Linked DNA regions of Sus scrofa. The protein of the gene in region 2 purifies or fractionates together with the protein of the main gene of each other region. This does not show direct contact. Links are inferred from orthologs where the notes say so. Each region holds a gene or a part of one and is shown on either strand. Other genes may lie near its edges. The genes, in order: PREB, MIA2 and MIA3.

Region 1 (6,202 bases), on a different chromosome or scaffold from region 2:
CTCGTGGGGTCCTCTCTAACAGCCAGACATGGCCCTCGCATCAGTACAGGGACACCAGGTCCCGTGGGGTGGAGGGGGGGTGCGTGGCAAGCGAGAGGGACCCTGCAGAGTTCAGGGACCCAGGAGCCCTGGCCCAGGTCCTGGTGGTCCATCTGGGGCACCGCCGTATTGCCCACGACCTGCGGCTACTGCTTTTGCAGCGCCTATGGCTAGGCAGAACCGGCCAGGCCCCCGTTGTGGAGTATCCTATATGCTTGGTGTGTCTTCGGCCCCGAAGCCCCTCTTGCCCCAGCCCCAGGTACAGGACTGGACCCAGGCTGCTTGCTTTCCCCCAGCTACTGCCCTGTGCACCGGGCCAGGAATCCGGACCACTCCGCATAGGCATTGGCTTTGGCCTTCGTCTGCCTCGGGGCCAGGCCAGGGCCTTGCACCTGTTGCCAGAAAGAAGGCCGGAGGAAGTAGGGTCTCAGGGCGAGGCTGCTCAGGCCCGTGGGTGTCAAGCCCAGGCATCTCAGGCCCTAGCAGCTCAGGCCCGGGCAGACCTAGGCCCAGGAACCCCCTCCCAGCCCGGGAGCCTCAGGTCTGTAGGCCCTCAATCACCAAACTCCATGCAGTTTTCAGGGTCTCCAACTCAGGCACCCAAACAGGCCACTGTCTGCCTGAAGCCCAGGCCTTATTCTGCCCCAAAGAGGCCTGCCTCTCCAGAACCCATTCACGGAAGGCCACCACCCTAATTCTGGACCCACGGAGGCTCCCTGGAGTGCCTCCTCTGAACCCCATGGTCCCTGCCAGGCCCCAGATCTCAGGGAGCCCCCAAAACACTCTGAAGGGCTGGCTGGCTGGAGCTCAGGTGTGTTCTCCAGTCCTGAACCCTGGAAGCCCCTTGTGGAGTCTGCTCTCTCCTGGCTGAAGGGGACCAAGCGCTCCTGAGGCCCCACTCAGCCTTCAGTGAATCCAATAAAGCCTGACCCTGCAACACTGGTTCTTGTGTCTTGCTGAGCAGATACAGTGCAGGAGGGCTCTACCTTCAGGGGGACCAGAACCCAACAAGGGGTGGGGGAAGAGTCAAAGGAAAACAGAAGGGCCAGGGAGAGTGGATGCCATGAACCTGAGGAGGGCAAGGGACCCACATGGATCTGAGATGTGCAGAGGGCTCTGTCAGGCCCTTCACACAATTCAATTCGGTGGACAGATAATAGCATCCTTAGAGATGAAGCCACTGGGCCCCCTCCTCTCACTGCACCTTAGGTTGTAAGGACTCAGGCCCATGTGGCCAGGGGAGCAGCAGGAGGGGACTCCTTGCAGGGAAGGGCAGGCCTAGCGTTCACACGAAGAAACATAGCACCCTTGAGGCAGAATGTTAACTCAGGTAGTCAGTGTAGGAGCATGGGCTTCCACGCATTCTGTGATATTAACATGTGTGGCTTAAGGGCTCCAGGGAGTAACATCCCCACAGCCCTTGTTTATTATAGGGAATGTACCTACCCCCAGATGGACATTAATCCCTAATCCCCCGTGACTCAGTTTACGGAAAGAAGAGGACAAAGAAACTCTGAGACTCACGGGACATTTCCATCCCTAGGACCCTATTGGACAAGGACTGACATACATAACTAAGCAAGGCCAATGGGAGAAGACCACATCTCTCTGGGCCCCACCTTGGTACCCCCCCAACTTTAAGGAATAAAACCCCCTATAGGACAATAGAGAAAGGGGGCTCCTCTCCCCCCTCCCAGCAACCCTGGGAGCGATCTACCTGCCTTTAATAAAAACTTTGCTTGCTTGCTGCCTGTGTGTTCGCAGAGTTCATTCTTTGACTGCCGTGAACAAGAACCCCGATTCGGGTATCATCTTTCTGGCATCACCTTCACTACCGTGATCAGAAACCCCAGAGACCCCTCGGAAGGGTAGGGGGCCAGGCCAAAACCTGCCCTGCCTGGTGGTCGAGTGGCCGCCCTCTGAGGGTATCAGAGGGGAGCAGCCCCCACCCACAAACCCCCAGCCGGAGGAGCAGGTGCAGAGCCTTCAGAATGGCCAGCACCCACCTCCGCCAAGGAAGAGGGCCGGTGTTGTTAGGGCAGGGAGCGGTTTTCTCATAACAGAAAGCGGTGGATTCCATGTTTGAAGCCAGGTCTGTTTTTAAAGTCCACGCTGCCTCGGTTAAGAGGCAGGGGACACAAGTCACATTTCCGGAGTGTGACCTGGGACAAAGACTTCATCTCGGGGGTAAAACGCAGAGGCTGCGCTTGACGAGTCTGCGTGTCACTCCTGAGGTGTGGACTGTCCTGATTCAAGAATTTCTTTATTGAAGGTTTATTCACGTCCCTGAACCTTTATTAGCTTCCCCTGCTGCTCCAGAACCACCAAAGATGCTTCCGTGAGGCGGGTACGTTCCCGCAAAAAGATGGCGGAACCCGTCGTCCCAACGCGGGCGGAGAACGGAATCCCGGCGCGGAGGTTCCGCCTGCCCGCGGCCGGCTAGTGCTGACGCGTATGGGCCGCCCTGCGCCTGCGCGGGGAGAGCGGGCTCGCTGCGCTTGCGCACTGCGCGTTGGCGAGACCGGGTTTGCCGGCCCGGGGCAGTGACAGGGATCCTTGTGTGTGGTTACGGTTTCGGCTTCCCGGTGGCAGGGAGAGGGGTCTGGGGTCCTCTGGCGGCCACAGGACCGACGTCAGCCGCGGCCGGAACCACAGTCGAAGGCCGGGCGCGGCATGTCCCGGGTGCCTCGACGCAGGCAGTGAGGCGCGCGGCGAGCGGGATGGGTCGACGCCGGGCGCCAGAGCTGTACCGGGCCCCGTTCCCGTTGTACGCGCTTCAGGTCGAGCCAAGCGCGGGGCTGCTCATCGCGGCGGGCGGAGGAGGTGCTGCCAAGACCGGTATAAAGAACGGCGTGGTGAGAGTACAGGGCCCCTGGGGCCGGGTCGCGCGCCGCGGGCTCAGGGCGATTCTGGGAGGGTCTCGGGGGCGGGCCGCACTCTTGCTTCGGACCCTTCCTCTCTCTCGGGTGGGAATGCTGGGCTTGCCGGGCGTCCCGGCGCGAGTTTCAGTCGAGAACTCGCTCACCGGTCAATTGAAAGACTCCTAAGGTAAAGTGAAAGCTGCACATAGCGCTGCCTAGGCAGGAACCTTTCGACTCAACCTCAGGCTCAGTTCTAGGGGTCTTATCCCGGCTTTTTCCAGGGTGGCCACCTGGGCTTGTCTGTCTGCCCTCTAGCAGCGGCGAGAGTGCAGCATAAACTAAGTGTTTTCACTTTTCTGGGCGTCAGCCTATTGTTCTGCAAACTAGAGGTGACCAGCCAACCTTGCTTGCTGTCCAGCCTCGTGAGGCTCAAAAAAAAAAAAAAAAAAAGTTGGAAAAAGTTTTGAAGTAGAAGGTGCAGTAAGCAAGGGGTAGGGCATCAGACCATAAGAGGAAAGTTGGCCTCGAGGTGCCCTCTGAGCCTTGCTCACCCTGGTTCCCTCTCCCACAGCACTTTCTGCAGCTAGAGCGGATTCATGGGCACCTCAGTGCCTCTCTGCTCCACTCCCATGACACGGAGACTCGCGCCACCATGAACTTGGCGCTGGCTGGCAACATCCTTGCTGCAGGGCAGGATGCCCGCTGTCAGCTCTTGCGCTTCCAGACCCAACAGCAGAAGGGCAAAAACAAGGCAGAGAAGGCAGGTGAGAGCCCCCTCTCTAGCTTTGGGCAAAGGGTTAAGTAAGATCTCTTTCGCCTTGGTCTCTGAAGAAGTGGGGGCTGGAGGCAGGGTTATGGTAGCAGAGGCCAGAAGCTCGAGGGTCACCCCTGGAGAGGGGGACCGGTTCCGCTTACTCCAGAAGCGTGGAACGTGGCAGGTTGTTTGTGTTGCAGCTTCCAAGGAGCAGGGGCCTCGACAGAGGAAAGGGGCTGCCCCAGCAGAGAAGAAGTCTGGAGCTGAAACCCACCAGGAGGGGTTAGAATTCAGCGTAGAGAATTTGCAGGCCGTGCAGACAGACTTCAGCCCTGACCCACTGCAGAAAGTTGTACGCTTCAACCATGATGCTACCCTGCTTGCCACTGGAGGGACAGATGGCTACGTTCGTGTCTGGAAGGTGTGTGGTTTGGGGAGGTCACAGGGTGTTAGTAGTGGCAGAGCCAGAATTGTGAGAAACTGAACACGGGTGCCGGGAGACCTGTGAGCGAAGCCCGCCCTGAGCGGCCGTAGCAGGGAAGGTGGCGGGGCTCATTGCACTCTTCCCGAGTACCGAGGCTAACTAGGCTGGTGGTTTGGCGGCAGGTCCCCACCTTGGAGAAAGTTTTGGAGTTCCGGGCCCATGAAGGAGAGATTGAGGACCTGGCTGTGGGGCCCGACGGCAAGGTGAGGTGGTGAGGGGTGGAGAAAGCAGGCGGGTGTGCTGCTTGTCCAGGAGGTGGATCCCCTAACCATCCGTCCTTGGAATCTTGATTCCTGACCAGTTGGTTACTGTGGGCCGGGACCTTAAGGCCTCTGTGTGGCAGAAGGATCAGCTGGTGACCCAGCTGCACTGGCAAGAGAACGGACCCACCTTTTCTAACACGCCTTACCGCTACCAGGCCTGCAGGTGTGCAGACCCCAGAGGGGGCTGGAAGAGGCTCTGCTTAGAGGTGGCGGGGGCATGGGAAAGGGCGGGGGCCAGCTGGGGAGGATCGGAGCCTTGTCGGGTGTTACCCCAGGCCTGACCAGGGTGTGGGAGGGCACAGACCTCTGAGGAGCTGAACAGCCTCTCCCCCGGCCACCAGGTTCGGGCCAGTTCCAGACCAGCCTGCCGGGCTGCGGCTCTTCACAGTGCAGATTCCCCACAAGCGTCTGCGCCAGCCCCCACCCTGCTACCTCACAGCCTGGGATGGCTCCACGTTCTTACCCCTTCGGACCAGGTCCTGTGGCCATGAAGTCATCTCCTGCCTCAGTGTCAGGTGTGAGACAGTGGTGGCTTGGCTGGGTGTGGGGGTGCCTGGGAGAGCTCGGGGAGCGGGGCCACCCCAGTCCCTGAGGACCGTTGTTGCCGCGCAGGACTCCAGGACAGTGAGCACTTTATTGTTTGTTGCAGTGAATCGGGCACCTTCCTGGGCCTGGGCACGGTCACTGGCTCTGTTGCCATCTACATAGCTTTCTCCCTCCAGGTAATGGGGTGGTGGGCACAGCCCCGAGGGCTCTTTGAGGTGGGGATTCTAGGCCTGCATCTACACGGAATGTGCAGGGAGGATCCTGGCCGGGCCTATAGGGGCCAAGTCTTCTGGGGGTAGAGGGTGTGTTTTCCGGAAGGAATGTTCCCAGCTGGGCCTTCCCCTGTCTCCAGCGCCTGTACTATGTGAAGGAGGCCCATGGCATTGTGGTGACGGATGTGGCCTTTCTACCTGAGAAGGGGCGTGGTCCAGAGCTCCTTGGGTCCCACGAAACTGCTCTGTTCTCTGTGGCTGTGGATAGTCGTTGCCAGCTACACCTGCTGCCCTCACGACGTGAGTCACTGGGTGGGCCGGGGCAGCCCACCTTTAGCTGCAGCAAAGACTTGCCGGCTGGAGAACTGGCTGCTCGATGGTAGCCATCTCTCCGCTCCTTGAATGGTTCAGTTTCTCAGGCTGTGGGGCCCCTTTTGGCCTCCTGACTTCTTCCCCTCCCCCTCCTGCAGGGAGTGTTCCTGTGTGGCTGCTGCTGCTGCTGTGTGTCGGGCTTATTGTTATGACCATCCTGCTGCTCCAGAGTGCCTTTCCAGGTTTTCTTTAGCCTCCTTGCTCCCAGAGAACCAGGGGCCTGGGCACTGCCACCTCTAGACCAGAGTGGAGGCCTGGACCCCACTGCTCACTCCACTGGGGCCCACAGCTGAGGTTGCCTCTGATGAGACTACTGGGCAATGCCTGCCCTTCCCAGTTAAAGTTTGGCTGTGGCCTCGTGCGACCCTGAGTTCTGGGAACCTTGTATTCATCATCTGTGGATCCGCCCAGGACCGTGGTGTCCTTCTTCCCTCTACCTACCAGAGGCTCCAAGGTGGGGCTTGTCCTTCCCCCAGAAATATGTGAAGATGCCCAAGAACTTGGAGGCACTGCTGTCCTTCCTGCCGAAAGCCGTTTTCTCCTGCTCCCCGCACAGCCTCGTGGCCGGCTGCTCTCCACAGGAGCCCCTCCCATTTGCTGGGGCAGCCCCTGGCCTGGGACTTGCTCTTAGGGAAGAAAGGAGTCAGAGGAAGACCCAAGCAGTACTCTTT
Region 2 (6,095 bases):
GATCCTTAACCCAGTGAATAAGGCCAGGGATTGAACCTGCATCTTCATAGATAGTAGTCACACTCCTAACCTGCTGAGCCACAGTAGGAACTCCAGATTTATTTTTATTGTTATTATTTTTTTGGCCACACCATGGCATGCAGAAGTTCCTGGGGGAGGGATTGAACTCATGCAGCAGCAGTGATCTGAGCCGCAGCAGTGATCTGAGCCACAGCAGTGGCAATGCCAGATCCTTAATCTGTTGAGCCAGCAGGGAACTCCTTAATAGGGAAATTTAAATTTATCTGGGTTCTCTCTTAACTTAGAACACAACTAAATTAACTAGATCAGAATTTAGCTGTAACATTTTTGTGTGTGTGTCTTTTGTCCTTTTAGAGCTGCACCCGCAGCATATGGAGGTTCCCAGACGAGGGGCTGAATCGGAGCTGTAGCTGCCAGCCTACACCAGAGCCACAGCAATGACAGATCCGAGCCATGTCTGCAGCCTACACCACAGCTCACAGCAATGCCGGATCCTTAACCCACTGAGCAAGGCCAGGGATCGAACCCACAACCTCATGGTTCCTAGTTGGATTCATTTCCACTATGCCACGAAGGGAACTCCAGCTATAAAATTTTAAATATTGAATACAAAAGGATAAAATGCATTAATTATTAAATATTCTTGACTTAATATAGACTATGTAAATAATTCTGTGCCAAAATTTGATGCTGAAGAGCTAATCCTTCTTTAATGTCTTTGACAACATAGTTTATTGATTTGTAAAAGTATTTAAGAAACAAACCTACACCTTTTTGAGTGTGCATGTGTTCAGTTCTGCAAATGAAAGGATCCTCAAACTCACTCTCTATCAGATTCTTTCTAAGGATGTAAAAATCTTTGCTCTCAGAGAGAAGGCTTCCTACTAATTATTGGTTCTGGAAAACAGAAAACACACTTCCTTTTTTTAGGATTTTGAAAGCAGCTGTCTTTCACTTTAACTCCCTCAGGCACTAGAGGGGAGTGTGGTGTTGCATAAGTGCTGCATTAGGCAAAGTACTCATACGCGGGCACGCCCAGACACTGGGGAAAGGTACAGCAAAGAAGAGCTTAGAAAAATATTTTCTCATGATTGAAACAGGACAACTTTAGTTTCCAAAAATCTACCTCAGTCTAGTAGATTTTACACAAAAATTCCCAATATAGGATTTGATCCCTTTTAAGCAACAATATCATTCAAATAATTTGACTTTCATAAACTTATCGTTATTTTTAAATGATATATCTCACTGATTTTTTTTATTACTCAAATGAATTTATCAACACTGTTTTTTTTTAAGTGAAACAATATAGAAAAGTGCAAAGAATAAAGTGAATACAATTTGAATTTACAGGATATATTCCCACCATATGGAGGAGGATTGTTTCAGACATCTCTCTCAATGTCTATGTCCAGAAATACACATCCAATTTTAAATACATAAAATGATATTGTATCTGCTGTTTCTAGAATAGTATTATTGCAGACAGAGTAGACATCTTTCTGTGGCAGATGACTTGATTCTTCGTGGTAAGAAATAGTGGTTGTGAGTTGTAGTAATCACAGAACTTAGATTTAAATTTCTTTCCCTTTCACTATGTGACTTTGGGCAAGTGATTTGACCTATCTCTATGTAACTCAGTCTCCTTATAATGCAAAAAAAGGGGATGATAATATTACCTACCTCCGAGAGTTGACCTGAGAGTAGAATCAGATCACATAATTGTTAAAGATGGTACCTGGAACATAATAAGTACTTCATATATTTTAACTATTATTCTTAAATGAAAAACAAGGGTCTACTTCATAGCAACATTGAAGGTTTTCAAAATATGAAAGTGGGGAGTTCTCATCGTGGTGCAGCAGAAATGAACCCAATTAGGAACCATGATGCTGCAAGTTTGATCCCTGGCCTTGCTCAGTGGGTTAAGGATCTGGTGTTGCTGTCAGCTGTGGTGTAGGTTGCAGTCGTGGCTCAGATTTGGCATTGCTGTGGATCTGGCATAGGCCGGCGGCTACAGCTCCGATTAGACCCTGAGCCTGGGAACCTCCATATTCACGGGTGCAGCCCTAAAAAAAATAATGATAATCAAAATATATGAAAGTGGGATATTTCTTCAAATAACTTTCATTATGATATTCCAAAACCATTATTACTTATTACCATAAGTACATTATTGCTTCTACGTATAACTATGCCTCCACTGACGCTGGTATTTGCATGTAGCAGATACTGTGTACTTCTTGACTGAACTACCTGAAGGCTTTAACTGAAGGAGATGAACTACCTTTTTGTGGAGGCCTGTGTAAGAATTGTTCTGTGGAACACAAGGTGTTTTTAAGCAGAGTTTTATGTGGGCTGGCTTTATAAGACATGACTCCAACTAAAAATCCCTGTTAATGATTAAACCCTTATGTATAATCTGGATACCTGACTCTGCAGATAGTGCAGATTGAGAACAGAGGCTGTTTGTCCCTCAAGTTAAGCCTAAATACCGATAGAAAAATGTAGTTATTGAGGGATTTAAAAAAATTCAAATCTTTTCTTCTCATATTTAGTAAAGACAGTGGGCTGCTTCCTGGTTTTGGCTGGCATATCTACTGCCTAAACAATCCCTTTAAACCTTGTTTGGATCCCTGCTTGTTTTAGCATGGCGGAGCTTGGAATTCACAGAATCCTTCTTTTGGTTATTTCTCTGACTAAGTGTCTGGAGGGCACAAAACGGCTGGCAGACTTTAAAAAATGTGGTGACTTGGAATGTGAAAGTAAGTTGCTTTTCTTTTTTTTCCCTTCTTTTCCTCTTAAATTGAGAATCCGAAATGATATAAAATGTTATTGTGGACATGTATAATAAAAATGAACAATAATATCTTTGGGAAGTATTTATCATTTTAAAATATAGTTCACTCAAAAGGGAAATTCTGGAAGCAAGCATTTCGTGATAGCTTTTAATGTAAATATACAAAGGGGCAAAGATTGACCTGGTATATAAATATACCAGAAATTATAATGATATAATCCAGATCTCAAAAATAAACTAATTAGCACTTTACTATTTTTAAGATAAATGTAATTGATATGTATTAAAAAAGATATCAAACCTTTTGATGGTTATTTTTATGAAGCCCTTATATTTTTTTAGTTTCTATTTCACAATCAGAAGTTTCTGAGTCTCATGAATCTTCTAATACCATTTTTATTTCAAGCCATCATGATTTATTATCTAAATTATTTTATCAAACATTAATCATTTCTTTGTTCACAATATGCAAAAATATTGAGATCAGTGTTAGGCGTACATAATCTTATGTATCCTTGAATATTAAACCTCTATCTTCTACAAAGAGAAATTAATTTTCATTCTATTGCTTAAGAACTTATTTTCTGAAATTAGCGTTATGGTACAAAAAATGAATAGCAACCCAATATATTAGAGTTGCTTTAAATATGTTCCATCTCTCCACTGTGTGAGAATTATTTCTAATTTGTAACATGTAAGTAAAAATGAAAAATATCATTAGTATAAACAAATAATTTAAAAGTAAATTTTTTATGAGTAAACATTTTCATTAATCGTTTGGAAATGTAATTTAACATATAGAGAAGGTTTACTCAATGATGTTTTATAATAATAATAATAACAACAATGATCTCTCTTTTCCTCTTTACAACCTCATATTAGTTTCCTTAGGGCCAGGCACAGAACATGGAAAGAGAACCTTCAAATGTATAGTAATTGATAATGTTATTTTAACTTTAATTGCATGACAAAATGTTTTAATATGTCAGTATAATTATAATGGTTAATATGATATGTGTATTATGTGTTGAAGGAATCTGTTTAGTATATGTGGTTATGATTATTCACAGTTATTAAAGGCCTATTATGTGCTGGGTCAGGGAAATAAGGGGTTTGTATTTAAGAAGAATAAAATGAAATATGAGATAAGTTTCTTGTCCTCCAAGTATTTTCAATCTAGTGGATGATGACAAGACAGGTCAATATGAAAAATAAATAGTGATACAACGTAAGGATAATAGGTAATATTGAAATTCAGAGAAGAGGCAGAGTAGCCTGGACCAATTAGGGATGAATCATAGGGATGTAGGTATGAGTTGTCCATCAAGAGAAATTGATGGGTTTCCAGAAGAGCTTAGGAAAAAACAGAAAGAAAAGCTCAGAATACATAAGGCAGATGTTGCAGTGAAATGAATTCCACACCATTTATTAGGTGTGTGATCAACTCTTTGAGATTTAAAGTTTCATTTGTTAGTATAAGATGAGATTATTAACCTCATAGACCTGTTTCGAGGGTTTATAATAACAATAATTAATGGAAGAGTTTGTCATGATGCCTGAAATATAATAGGTGCCTGGAAGAAAACTAATTATCTTTTCCTTCCCTTCCCTATTGTGTGTTTGTCTCTGCATGTTTACATAGCTTTAATAAGCAGAGTCTTAGCCATAAGAGATTACAGAGGACCTGACTGTCGGTATCTGAACTTCACTAAGGGAGAAGAGATATCTGTTTATATTAAACTCGCAGGAGAAAAGGAAGATTTGTGGGCAGGAAGTGTAAGTATCTAATCATATAAATTAAATACAGAGTAAATGACCAGCTTACCCAAAGATGCCTGGTTTTCATCTCTAAAGGAACTTTAAGAATTTCAAAGTGGGAGTCCCATTTTAGCTTAGCAGGTTACCAGCGAGGATCCATGAAGACATGAGTATGCAGATTCAATCCCTGGCCTGGCTTAGTGGGTTGGGAATCTGGCATTGCCGTGAGCTGTGGTGTATGTGGGTTTCAAATGCAGCTCAGATCCCATGTTGCTATGGCTGTGGCATAGGCTGGCAGCTGCAGCTCCAATTTGACCCCTAGCCTGGGAACTTCCATATGCTGCAGGTAAGACCCTAAAAAGCAAAAAAAAAAAAAAAAAAAAAAAAAAAAAAAAAAAAAAAAAAAGAAAAAGAAAAAGAAAAGAAAGAAAGAATTTCACAGTACTTTAAAATATATAAACATATTTAAACAAACAAAAACAGTCATGTTCAGTGTTGGTTCCTGAATTTCTATAAAAGTAGCCTTTGGGAAGCCAGTCTGGTCCGGATGAAGGCTTGAGAGTGCTTTGAAATTATTTTTATGTAGCATCCATAGGTTTTGAACTTTGATTTTATGTTTATTTAGAGGTGCCAATGGAGATACCAATGGCCACGTTTAAGAGAGGCTGGGACGTTTTTTGTTAATTAAATTAAAAGACATGTCTTTCTGTAAACCAGCTATAATGGAAAAAATAAAAATCATTAAAAAAAAAAGACATGTCTTTCTGAGCAAATAACAAACTGAGTTGCTCTTGAAGAGATCCTCAGAAAGATTAGTAGTCTAGGGAGGTGAGTTGTACAAATGTTTCATTTAAAGAAAAATCTTTCTTTCAAAAAGAAAAACAGAGAGATTTTATTTGGCCCAAAGTACTATTACATTGAAATTCCTAAAAACCTGGATCATCTCTGAATATATAAGATAGGAAAATTAATGATTAATGTTTTCAGTTGAAAATAGGTTTGTGTTCTAGATTATATCATTATGCTTTAGAATGAAAGGATGCCATGACAAACGATCTTACTCCCAGGTTGAACAAACATGACCAGCCTGGTACATACATCATTTCCATATTGTGTATGCATAAGATCTCTTTCTTGTGCAGCATCTGTGATCTTTGTTTGCAGAAGCAGATTCTATTTGGGGTCTACCCTGCGTTTTAGCATCAGGCGCTATATGACTGAACTTCTGATGGTTCTTGGCCAGAATTGTTTGCCTGGACTTTGCAGCTCCCAAGATTTCTTATTGTTTGTGGTGCTTCAAACATGACATTTCTGTCTTGAATGCATGACTGTACTGAATGCAGCTATAAGAAAAATGACACAGGAGTTCCCGTCGTGGCACAGTGGTTAACGAACCCGACTAGCATCCATGAGGTTGTGGGTTCGATCCCTGCCCTTGCTCATTGGGTTTAGGATCCGGTGTTGCCGTGAGCTGTGGTGTAGGTCGCAGACGTGGCGAGGATTCTGCGTTGCTGTG
Region 3 (5,897 bases), on a different chromosome or scaffold from region 2:
AATTTAGAAAAAAAGAGGAGTTCCCGTTGTGGCTCAGTGGTTAACGAATCTGATTAGGAGCCATGAGGTTGCGGGTTCGATCCCTGGCCTTGCACAGTGGGTTAAGGATCTGGCGTTGCCGTGAGCTGTGGTGTAGGTTTCAGACATGGCTCGGATCCCATGTTGCTGTGGCTGTGGCAGAGGCCGGCGGCTACAGCTCCGATTAGACCCCTAGCCTGGGAACCTCCATATGCCACGAGTGCCGCCCTAGAAAAGGCAAAAAGCCAAAAAAAAAAAAAAAAAGAAAAGAAAAACACGTAAAATCAACTCTAAATGGGAACGCCTCAAACACCATCTAGATTAAGTCTAATGCCCGTGAACCCCCCCTTCTGCAAACAGTGCAGTTACTCTTCAGGCTTCACCATCTCAGCCTTGACTCTGTATGGGGCAGCCAGGGCTGGGAAGGCCTAGAACTTGATGCTGAGGTGCAAGAGCCACAAGCAGTCAGTTCTGTTGAAGCCCTTCCTCTGTGTGCCAAGCCTGGTGCCGGCTGGGGACACAGAATCACCCTCTGTTTTCACGGTCTAGCAGAGAAAACAAGTTAACGCCATCCAAGACCCCCAGAAAACAAGTTACTTCAATCTAGAGTGTTAAACAAGCCAATGAAAAGGAAGAAAATAAAGCATGCCAAAGCGGTACTTACACTTCCAGCCCAAACTTCAGGTGATCCCCCTGCCAGTTTATAGTAGACATATACAGGGTCACCTTTTTTAAAATTCACAAAGCGACAATCCGGTCCTGTAAAATCTTCCAGAGCCTCGCCGCGGTACATTAACACTGTATGTAAAAGGGAAAAAGAAAGAAGCAGAAATCAGGATTCCACTTCCGTGGTCTCTGCTGATTTATCAGGAAACGTACGATGTAAACAAGCAGGGAGCTTCCCCTGTAATCTCTGGAACCAGTCCCTTTCCATCCACACGCTCAAGCATCTCCAGAGCCTTACGGAATCTGAATCACGACAGGGGAGGGAAAGCATCCCCCGTTGTTCTCCCCGGATAAGGCTGGGAAACAAAACGCAATGGCCACTGCCACGCGTGGCTGCTCTCAAGTGAATCTCTTAGTTTCCTGTCTAACCATCCAGTCTGCAGCCTTCGCTGTTTCATAATCATCATGAAAAGCTTCATTCGGCAGTTGGGTAGATTGGATCACAGATGCTGCCTGGCTACCTGTCAAGGTAATAGGTAGGTGGGGAGAGCACCCAAGAACCCCCCAAGGGGTCAATTAACTTGAACTAAGCACGAAGAGGCCCTGTCTTTAAGTGGCTGAAATGGCAACTGCGCAGCAGTAAACACTTTCATTTGCAGCCAAGCTGCTCTCTCCTTACAGCATCTGGTTAAATTAAGGAGAAAGGACATCACATCCTGTTATGGACCCAATCATAGGACAAAGTAATATCTTCTGAAAGCATATACGCCTGACAATATTCAACAGTAAGAAGGTTTGTTTATTTCTAGAAACAAAATCAAAGTGGACAAGTGGCTTATGTTTCTAGAAACACAATCATGTGTGGCAGGGACGAGCGTAAGGACGAGAACTGTTTAGTAGTTACCTTCAGTCTTAAAATGCAGGCCTTAAATCACACGCGATCTAGGAACTGGTAGAAGCAGTATTTTTCTTTTTGTTGACCAAACACACAGTTTCTAATGTAATATGGAATGCACAATAAATGCAATTAAATAGCAAAGAAAAAGGATGAAACGGAAATAACACTTTTTCTAAAAGCTAAACAGCAATAAAAGATACATTAAAACATATCTTTAAATAAGTTATTTGAGGGATAAACATGGGGGTTATTTGGATTTTGAAGCTAAAATCTGATTATTTTAATACACTTCAGCCTCCTAATTCAGATATAATTAGATAGATGAGAGGCCAAGTTGAAGGTGATGGACAATTTAAGACTGGGGATTTGAAGTTCCCTGTTGTGGCTCAGTGGAAACAAATCTGACTAGCACCCTTGAGAATGCAGGTTTGATCCCTGGCCTCACTCAGTGAGTTAAGGATCCCGGGTTGCCATGAGCTGTGGTGTAGGTTGCAGACGAGGCTCAGATCCTGCGTTGCTGTGGCTGTGGTGTAGGCTGGCGACTACGGCTCCAATTCGACCCCTAGCCTGGGACCCTCCGTATTGCAGCAGGTACAGCCCTAAAAAAGCAAAAAAAAAAAAAAAAAAAAAAAAAAAAAAAGAGGCTGGGATTCTCTCAGAATCAGAAATGGCAATGTTTCTCTTATTTCACCCTTGGAAGATATCACTGCAGATTTATAATAACAAATCAGATGACAACATACTGCACACGGTGACACAGCTATCTGAAAAGCACACAAGGACAGCCCACACGCGCACACACGTTACTAAATAAACACTTTATGCAACACAACACAGACCCAGACCCTGCCTGGCTGCAGCCTGTTGTGCTTGGTTACATCTGCTTGGACTCATGCCATTTTCTCAAATTATGTGACAGCTACGGGCCCTTCCAACACCCTGTGGCCTTTCCACACTGAGGAAGCATCCACACAGAGCGACTGTCCAGGTAAGTGGTGTTGAGGACCAGACAGGCCAGTGCTGGAAAGCAAAGAACAGCAAATATTTTGCCAACCCTGCTGGCTACTAACCTGGATTGACTCCAAGAAAAGAAGGGAAACAATCATGGAAGTTGCGCCCCTTTTGCAGCATTTATTACATCAGGTCTAGGGTTGCCTCTAGGAATGGCTTAAACGCAAATCAAAGCAAGCCTCCTTTCTTGAGTGGTGGAGCAATGATACAACTCTTCAAATTATACAATTTGTTTCTGGAATAACACCCATTTCACTATAAATAGCTAACCGTAGGCTCTGGCCTTTCCAGAATGAACAGTTCCCCAGGTACTGACAACAGTATATGAACAAGCGTTTCCGAAGTGGTTACCAGTACGTTACAAGGTTATCTGAAACGGACTGGGAAGCCGCAAGGACGGCAGTGGTCCTGCAAACACACAGGAAGAGCCTCCAAACACAAGTGACTAAGGCTCAAGCTGGCTGGGTTTATAAAACCCCTGGAGCATGCATTATTTTTACTTTAACAACCCTCTTCTTCTCAGTCCGGGGAATCTCTGCGCTCCTCACCAGCAGCGGCACCCCCGCCCCATCCCCAATCCGCGAATGGGGAACAATTCCGCTTCCTGCGCAAAGAGGAGGCTGCCGGTCCCAGGTGGCCGATGCAGAGTCTCCGCCTCTTTCGAGAGCGCAAGCTTTTGGCCCTCCCGGCGCCCCCCCGCCTGGCTATTTGCAGGAAGAGCCTTCCAAGCACAGAAATGACAGGATCGAGGCAGAGCCGGGGCGGAGACCTTGGAATACACAGCACGCCTGGACTCCGGGCTCGTCCCAAGCCTAAACTCCAGTCCCAGTTCGAAAGGCGTCCGAGCCCCGAATCGGTGGGAAGCAGAAGAGCGAAGGGAGCCTCTCCCGAGCCCCCACTGGCCACTGCGCAGGGAATACGCCCCCTGAGCCCTTGGCCTATCTGCCCCCGGACTGCACTCTCCGAGGTCCCCGCGGCGGGGGCAGGAGAGCGCTGGGATGCAGCGTGGGAGCCCAGGACGCTCGGCGCGCCACCCCAGCTCGCCGGAGCCAGGGCAGCCCGGGGAAGGAACCCTGGGGGCGGCCCTGGGAAACCGGGGGCCACCTCCGACCGCCCACCCCCGCCTCCGTCAGCGAAAGAAAAATGAAATGCCGGCAACAAGTGGGAGGCGCAGCCCCCACGGCCGGGGCCGGCCGGCCTGGGCGCCCGCAGGGCCGGAGGGGACAGAAGCGGGGACCCGGCTCGCCCCCCGCGGCGCTCCGCCCAACCGCCCTGCGACCCCCGCCTCCCCGCGCGCCGGGCACTCACTGCTGCATTCCTCGTCCGCGCAGACTTTGTCCTGCGAGAAGCGCCGGCCGGGGGCCGGCTCCGGCTGGCCCGGCACCGGCCAGGGCGGCCCGAGCAGGAGCAGCCAGAGCAGCAGCCCCGGCGCCGCAGCCATGTTGTGGTCACTCGCGGAGCGGGTGACGCGGAGGAGGAGGCGGGCGGCGGGGCGGCGCCCGCCGGGGTGTGGGGCCCCGAGCGACACGTCAGCACGGTCTCGGGAGGGGATGGCCGGAGAGGGTCCTAAAGAAGCCGGAGGAGGACAAGCGCGCCCACCTCCTCGCCTAGGCCTTCGCGGCCGACTGCTGCCTTCGCGGCCGACTGCTGCCTTGGCAACCAGGATTCTACCTCCTCCCTCGTCCAATCGCCGGCCTGTGCCCTTGTCCCTACGCAGTGGACCCTCGGCGAGATTCCACGGGTCTCGCGCCCCTCTCCGACCTTGGGCCCCCCCTCCCCCCGCGCTGGTCCAACAAGTCTTTCTTGACCCCTTCTCGCAGCTTCAGATTTCTGGTCGGTCCCCAAGGGGCTCACCGTCACCACCCCATCCCTTCTTGGTTTGGTACCTCCTTTCCCGAAGGACCAGATCCCACCCACGATTTACCACTGCTGGTGTCCAGTTCGGCATCCCCCTCCTTCTGACTCCCAGGGCGTTCTTGGGGCCCCATCCCATGATCCCCTCAAATTAGGAAAGGGAGCTGTGACTCTGAGGGAAATTAGAGCGGTGGCCTGCTCAGTTATTTTTTTTTTTTCCCCACGCGTCTCCTGCTAGCCCTGGAGATGGGAGTGGCCCTGGGTCCCCCAGGCTGAGGTCTTCAGATTCTTGGGTCTATATCCTAACAGAAGAATAATTTAATTCAATGCAAATGTGTTGAGCTTCCCTTACGTTACAGGCTACCACGTTAGGACAGAGGCTGGACAAAGCTCCAGGATGATGAGCGGAAAGGTGTAGGGTTAACAGACAAGCTATCTGGACTTCGTGTAAAGAGGCCCACAATTTAGTGGAAAACAACTCACATCAAAAGGACTGAAGATTAAGTAGTTCCTGTCCTGGCTCAGCAGAAACAAATCTGACTAGTATCCATGAGGACGGGGCTTTGATCCCTGGCCTCGCTCAGTGGGTTAAGGATCTAGCGTTGCTGTGAGCTGTGGTGTAGAACTCAGATGCCACTTGAGTCTGGTGTGGCTGTGGCTGTGGCGGCTGTGGCGCCTGTGGCGTAGGCCTGTGGCTGCAGCCCGGATTAAACGCCTAGCCTGGGAACCTCTATGTGCCACCAGAGTGGCCCTAAAAAGATCCCCCCCAAAAAAAGACAAAAATAAATGTTAGAGAATGGAAAAACACTTCCTGAGCATTTTCTTTATGCCCAGATGTCATTCTAAGGTCTTCATACGTAGTAGCAATTTGTTTAATTTTCACAATAGCTGGTGCTATTACCATTCATTTTCCAAGATGAGTACATTGCATTTGTCTGTGACCTGGCGCTTCTCACTATAGCCTCTGTCAAGGCTATTCATCAATGCTGAGAGCCAATCGCATCTGTTAGTTGGTTTCCCGAACTGGAGTCCTTAAAAGCAAGTGAAAGAATGTGGCAGGTCCATGCAATCCATAATGTTGAATAAAGGAAAAGGTGAGAAGGAGATGTTCACAGTTGTTTATCTCCAGGGTCATGAGATGCTCCACTGGTCCCACGGTGTCTCGAGAGAATGTACAATGGGTCAGGTGACTGTCCAAGCAATAGTGCCTTTAGGAGTTTCTCCATTTCTTTTCTACTGTGTTTCTTGCTTTGGAATCTTTGGTGTTTCTAACATGCATCTTCAGCTTAGTATGTTGGAAATCCAATTTCTCATTTTCTCTCTCCAACCGTGCTCCTTTCAGCCTTCCTATTTCAATGACGGGCCCTTTAATTCTGTCTTCCAGGGGTTCAAGTCAGTAACTTACAAACCACCCCGGATTCCTCTTTATCTCACGTGCCACATCCAATCC

Evidence for each region.
Region 1: the proteins of MIA2 (region 2) and PREB purify together in Homo sapiens (affinity purification with western blotting; 3 studies listed by BioGRID and IntAct, with this or other methods). This does not show direct contact. The link is inferred for Sus scrofa from reciprocal best matches to the Homo sapiens genes MIA2 and PREB.
Region 3: the proteins of MIA2 (region 2) and MIA3 purify together in Homo sapiens (affinity purification with western blotting; 6 studies listed by BioGRID and IntAct, counting the BioPlex papers as one, with this or other methods). This does not show direct contact. The link is inferred for Sus scrofa from reciprocal best matches to the Homo sapiens genes MIA2 and MIA3.

The regions. Positions count from the first base shown.
Region 1 is NC_010445.4:111,989,835-111,996,036, forward strand, and holds the start of PREB (prolactin regulatory element-binding protein), read left to right. Parts: upstream 1-2,529; 5' UTR 2,530-2,759; coding exon 2,760-2,894; intron 2,895-3,471; coding exon 3,472-3,664; intron 3,665-3,854; coding exon 3,855-4,075; intron 4,076-4,260; coding exon 4,261-4,341; intron 4,342-4,439; coding exon 4,440-4,564; intron 4,565-4,742; coding exon 4,743-4,916; intron 4,917-5,050; coding exon 5,051-5,123; intron 5,124-5,299; coding exon 5,300-5,459; intron 5,460-5,629; coding exon 5,630-5,724; 3' UTR 5,725-6,202. Other genes in the region: PRR30 (proline-rich protein 30), read left to right, coding at 1-734.
Region 2 is NC_010443.5:169,775,142-169,781,236, forward strand, and holds the start of MIA2 (melanoma inhibitory activity protein 2), read left to right. Parts: upstream 1-2,451; 5' UTR 2,452-2,671; coding exon 2,672-2,786; intron 2,787-4,463; coding exon 4,464-4,597; intron 4,598-6,095. UniProt on the Homo sapiens protein: Plays a role in the transport of cargos that are too large to fit into COPII-coated vesicles and require specific mechanisms to be incorporated into membrane-bound carriers and exported from the endoplasmic reticulum.
Region 3 is NC_010452.4:11,376,058-11,381,954, reverse strand, and holds the start of MIA3 (melanoma inhibitory activity protein 3), read right to left. Parts: upstream 4,063-5,897; 5' UTR 4,035-4,062; coding exon 3,902-4,034; intron 817-3,901; coding exon 683-816; intron 1-682.